2 linked regions of the Saccharomyces cerevisiae S288C genome follow. The protein of the gene in region 2 interacts with the protein of the main gene of each other region in a biochemical or structural test. Each region holds a gene or a part of one and is shown on either strand. Other genes may lie near its edges.

The links. Proteins that work in one complex are often made in the same cells at the same time.
Region 1: the proteins of CMD1 (region 2) and THI4 form a complex in vitro, tested with the Saccharomyces cerevisiae proteins (one study listed by BioGRID).

What each region holds. Positions count from the first base shown.
Region 1 is NC_001139.9:778,518-782,043, forward strand, and holds THI4 (thiamine thiazole synthase), read left to right. Parts: upstream 1-1,881; coding exon 1,882-2,862; downstream 2,863-3,526. Other genes in the region: ribosome biosynthesis protein ENP2, read left to right, coding at 3,250-3,526.
Region 2 is NC_001134.8:457,255-460,217, forward strand, and holds CMD1 (calmodulin), read right to left. Parts: upstream 1,109-2,963; coding exon 665-1,108; downstream 1-664. Other genes in the region: AIM3 (Aim3p), read left to right, coding at 1-411; ALG1 (chitobiosyldiphosphodolichol beta-1,4 mannosyltransferase), read left to right, coding at 1,618-2,963.

The sequences.
Region 1 (3,526 bases), on a different chromosome or scaffold from region 2:
AACCGGAACGAATTTATTAGAAGCTCAAACACAAGGGTTGATAGTGTGATAAAGGAAAGGGGTGACAACGTGTAGAGGGTAAAACTTATTGATTCCTTTTTGTGGATTCCTATACCCTACAAGAACACTGTTGGATATAGACATTATATGCAATATTAATTATGCGACTGATAGGCTTCGTAATTCCTGCTTGAGTAAAGACAAGAATTTTCATTTCTCATTAACTGTTTTTATTTATAACCTAGGAAAAAAAGGAGCTGAAAATTTGTTGGAATAAAAATCCACTATCTTATATCAACTAGTATTCCTAATGTCAGTATATTGTCATATAAGGCGTTAGATGGTGACATAAGGTATGAAAAGTTGCCATCGAAGTTAGAGGAAGCTGAAATGCAAGCATTGATGTAATAGGATCAATGAATATTAACATATAAAACGATGATAATAATATTTATAGAATTGTGTAGAATTACAGATTCCCTTTTATGGATTCCTAAATCCTTGAGGAGAACTTCTAGTATATCTACATACCTAATATTATAGCCTTAATCACAATGGAATCCCAACAATTACATCAGAACCCACACTCTCTTCAATTATTATGTAGAAATTTCGATTCTATTTTGAGGATTCCTATACCCTCGAGTAGAAATTCTAGTATATCCTACATACCTAACATTATTGCTTTATCAATAATGGAATCCCAACAATTATTGTTACAGGCTACGATATTGCGTATAGAAAAAATGTTGAAAGTTCTTCTGCAAGATACAGGAATCCAAAGGGAATCAATATATCTACCTAATAGTATTATTATTTCTTTTCCATTTTATATGTTTCACTATCCTACTATTTCATCGATCCTCTTATTTAAGCTTTTATTAAACCTAATGACTGTTCTATAACTTTTATGTCCTCTTTTTACATCATAAATGATAATTAATATACTAGTGACATGAATACTAATCGATGGATGGTAGTTTGTTCTTATTCTATCAGGGAAATGCATCAGATAATGGATAAAATGGAAAGAATGGAAAGGAATTGTAACATGCCTATATATGGAAAACGAGCTTTTAGAGCTTTCAAGTTAACCCCGGGCGGTTAGTGTAGTGGTTATCATCCCACCCTTCCAAGGTGGGGACACGGGTTCGATTCTCGTACCGCTCAAGATTACTTTTTTAATTTTCATACTTTTTCTCCTAATATCTTGCAAATCATGACTGAATTGACATTAACTGATGCAAATGGGTGGGAAAAATGCTTATCAACCCCCTAAAAAGTCAACTTCTTCGTTAGTGATTGCTATATGTGGCGTCAAGAATTACAAGAAGCTGGCGAGCTTTCCAAGCCCCTTCAGGATTAACCGTTTTTTACCCTTTTTTTACAAATTTACGGCGGGGAATAATTCTGATACTTTCTCTTTATGAGCATTCCTCAACAGGGATCGGCACTCAATTGCTTTAGTGAATAGTTTTTTTTTACGCCAAGAACATTTACCACCCCATTTTCCTGTAGACGTCCAAAACGATACTCTACTTTAAGCCCTTTTTCTGAAGTTTTCATAAAATGTCCGATCTCCTAACGTCATTTTTAAAATCAAATGGTCTTTTAATAATTATGCACGTTAAAAAACATACATAATTGATAGTAAAGAATCTGGTATTCTATCAGTTACCAAGTTCAATCGTAAATTTTTTTACGAGCACTAATAGAAATGGATCATGAAATTGATTTTTTGATTTTCAATTTATGAACTACCCAGATATATAAATATTGGAATAAATTGTGTATTAAGTAGTCGGGAAATATCTTTTATGTTCTCTTTCTTATCATCTAGAAATAATAAATCACAACCAAAAAAATCAACTAACTATCAAAATGTCTGCTACCTCTACTGCTACTTCCACAAGTGCCTCTCAATTGCACTTAAACTCTACTCCAGTTACTCACTGCTTATCTGACATCGTTAAGAAAGAAGATTGGTCTGACTTTAAATTTGCTCCCATCCGCGAATCCACTGTCTCTCGTGCTATGACTTCTCGTTATTTCAAGGATCTTGACAAGTTTGCCGTTTCTGACGTGATTATTGTCGGTGCGGGCTCTTCAGGTTTATCCGCCGCTTACGTCATCGCCAAGAACAGACCAGACTTGAAGGTTTGTATTATCGAAAGTTCAGTTGCACCAGGTGGTGGTAGTTGGTTGGGTGGTCAATTATTTAGTGCCATGGTTATGAGAAAACCAGCTCATTTGTTCTTACAAGAGTTGGAAATCCCTTACGAAGACGAAGGTGACTATGTTGTCGTTAAGCATGCCGCTTTGTTCATCTCTACTGTCCTTTCAAAGGTCTTGCAATTACCAAATGTTAAACTGTTCAATGCTACCTGTGTTGAAGATTTGGTTACCAGACCACCTACCGAAAAGGGCGAAGTCACCGTTGCTGGTGTTGTCACCAACTGGACGTTAGTTACCCAAGCTCACGGTACTCAATGTTGCATGGACCCTAACGTAATTGAATTGGCAGGTTACAAAAATGACGGAACTCGTGACTTGAGTCAAAAGCATGGTGTCATTTTATCCACTACCGGTCATGATGGTCCATTTGGTGCTTTCTGCGCCAAGAGAATCGTCGACATTGATCAAAACCAAAAATTGGGCGGTATGAAGGGTCTGGACATGAACCATGCCGAACACGATGTCGTTATTCACTCTGGTGCATACGCCGGTGTTGACAACATGTACTTTGCTGGTATGGAAGTTGCTGAACTGGATGGATTAAACCGTATGGGTCCAACTTTTGGAGCTATGGCTTTGAGTGGTGTTCATGCTGCTGAGCAAATTTTGAAACACTTTGCTGCTTAGGCTTTTAATGAGGTATGCTTTTAAAGATTTATATATTTTTTATACACGCTATATACACAATTTTCGCTGATGATTTTGTTTTATTATTGATTTTTAAATTAACCGTAGAAAATACTAAGTGGAAAGATCCGATAGTGATGAGATAAGACTTTTAGTTATCTCTGTAATGGTGAGTTTTCGCACATCTTGCAATATTAAAAATATAAATCAATTCTTCAAATGTCACTTCATGGTCGGGTAACCAAATATGATCTTAAAAAAAATTAAGAAAAAAAAAAATTGAAAATTTTGAGCTAAGCTCATCTCATCTCATCGGCTGTAATCAGTAACACATCATTTATTACATCAGTTACAGGTATCAACATATATCTTCAAAAAGGGGACATTATGGTTTTGAAATCTACTTCCGCAAATGATGTTTCAGTATATCAGGTTTCTGGTACAAACGTTTCAAGATCACTTCCAGACTGGATTGCGAAAAAGCGCAAAAGGCAATTAAAGAATGATTTAGAATATCAAAATAGAGTAGAACTGATTCAAGATTTTGAATTTAGCGAAGCCTCCAATAAGATTAAAGTGAGTAGAGATGGGCAATATTGCATGGCTACCGGTACATACAAACCTCAGATCCATGTCTACGATTTTGCTAATTTGTCACTGAAGT
Region 2 (2,963 bases):
AACTCCATTACCAATGAGTTGTCGCATATCAAATTAAGAAAAACAAACGTTAATTTGGAAAAGTTAGGCGGTTCGAAAAAAGTGAAGGACTCTAGCCCTGTTCCCTCAGATCTAGATGAAAAATATGTGTCTGCATCGGGGTCTATTACTCCACCAAGGCCTCCACCTTCTAGGTCTAGTCCAAAGAAAGTGCCGCCTGTTGTCCCAAAAAAGAATGATAACCTGAAGAAAAAGCCACCAGTGGTCCCAAAGAAAAAGCCATTACTAAAATCGCTCGAACCAAGACCTATTGAAATGGAGAGGGCCTATTCGGGAGATATTTCTGCTGCTGACGATAACTTAAATCCTTTTGAAAGATACAAACGAAATGTTGTTCCTCAAGAAGATGACAGACTGCATAAATTAAAATAATGAAATAGCTACGCAACATTGAACTTAATACTGGCTAAATTTAGTTATCCGCCTTGGTAAACAATCCGTATCCTTTATTTAAACTGTCTTCTCAGGAACATTACTTATCTACATAAATAACATTAACCCTGTCTACGTACAGTATATATTTGCGTGTGGTTGTCAAACTTTAGATGAAACGATACTCAACGAATACTATAAAACCAGAATGGTAAGGGTAAGATAGCGGGAGCAAAAAATCACAAGGATGCACCTATTTAGATAACAAAGCAGCGAATTGTTGAATGTTGATCTCGCCTGATCCATCACTAACCTCTCTTAGCATATCATCTACTTCGGCATCAGTCAATTTTTCACCAATGGATGTTAGCACGTGTTTCAACTCAGCGGCGGAGATTAAACCATCACCGTTCTTATCGAATACTTTAAAAGCTTCTAGTAGTTCTTGTTCAGAGTCATTTGATTTGAGTTGACGAGACATCAGAGCCAAAAATTCACTAAATTCGATTTGATGGTTACCATCAACATCTATTTCGTTCATCAAATCATTTACTTCTGCTTCACTGGGCGAAAGACCCAATGACCTCATCACAGTGGCCAATTCACTTGATGAGATAGAGCCATTGTTATCTTTATCAAAGAGGGCAAAGGCTTCTTTGAATTCAGCAATTTGTTCTTCGGTAAGATTGGAGGACATTGTACTTTTTTATTTGTATTAACTAAGCTCTTTCTTTGTAGTTCGATAGTTTCCGGTCAAGAATAAGATTTCTATCCAGTCAGAGTACCCTTGTGAGTTAACAAGATCTCTTGTTAAACACCTTCTTACGCGGGCAATAAAAAATTCTAAGAATAAAGTCATATCACAGTACACGAAAATATAAATACATCTTGAAAATGTCTCAAATTGGGTGGAAAAGAGGGTGCTTGAATTCATTAGGACATATGGTTGATGTTCTCAGGTTCTACTTATGTTTGCTTTGTCGATTTTTGCATGCTTTGACTGTGACTTTCCTGTCTGATATCTTTGTATGGCTTGTTGCTAAAACAAGGTCAATCCAAGCAGTGATCATCTTGCACGTTGCTTCAATAGAACGCGCATATAGCAATCATCAAGTTAATTGGTCATATATCTTTCAATCAGCAATTAGCAAAGCCATTAGAGGGTAATTGTAACGGCATTTTAGGGGCTATAGTCAATTGGTGAAAATGTTTTTGGAAATTCCTCGGTGGTTACTTGCCTTAATAATATTATACCTTTCCATACCGTTAGTGGTTTATTATGTTATACCCTACTTGTTTTATGGCAACAAGTCGACCAAAAAAAGGATCATCATATTTGTGCTGGGTGATGTAGGACACTCTCCAAGGATATGCTATCACGCTATAAGTTTCAGTAAGTTAGGTTGGCAAGTCGAGCTATGCGGTTATGTGGAGGACACTCTACCCAAAATTATTTCCAGTGATCCAAATATCACCGTCCATCATATGTCAAACTTGAAAAGAAAGGGAGGCGGAACATCAGTTATATTTATGGTAAAGAAGGTGCTTTTTCAAGTTTTAAGTATTTTCAAATTACTTTGGGAATTGAGAGGAAGCGATTACATACTAGTTCAAAATCCACCGAGCATACCCATTCTTCCGATTGCTGTGCTATACAAGTTGACCGGTTGTAAACTAATTATTGATTGGCACAATCTAGCATATTCGATATTGCAACTAAAATTTAAAGGAAACTTTTACCATCCTTTAGTGTTGATATCTTACATGGTAGAGATGATATTCAGCAAATTTGCTGATTATAACTTGACTGTTACTGAAGCAATGAGGAAATATTTAATTCAAAGCTTTCACTTGAATCCAAAGAGATGTGCTGTTCTCTACGACCGCCCGGCTTCCCAATTTCAACCTTTGGCAGGTGACATTTCTCGTCAAAAAGCCCTAACTACCAAAGCCTTTATAAAGAATTATATTCGCGATGATTTTGATACAGAAAAAGGCGATAAAATTATTGTGACTTCAACATCATTCACCCCTGATGAAGATATTGGTATTTTATTAGGTGCCCTAAAGATTTACGAAAACTCTTATGTCAAATTTGATTCAAGTTTGCCTAAGATCTTGTGTTTTATAACGGGTAAAGGACCACTAAAGGAGAAATATATGAAGCAAGTAGAAGAATATGACTGGAAGCGCTGTCAAATCGAATTTGTGTGGTTGTCAGCAGAGGATTACCCAAAGTTATTACAATTATGCGATTACGGAGTTTCCCTGCATACTTCAAGTTCAGGGTTGGACCTGCCAATGAAAATTTTAGATATGTTTGGCTCAGGTCTTCCTGTTATTGCAATGAACTATCCAGTGCTTGACGAATTAGTACAACACAATGTAAATGGGTTAAAATTTGTTGATAGAAGGGAGCTTCATGAATCTCTGATTTTTGCTATGAAAGATGCTGATTTATACCAAAAATTGAAGAAAAATGTAACGCAGGAAGCTGAGAACAGATGGCAATCAAATTGGGAACGAACAATGAGAGATTTGAAGCTAATTCA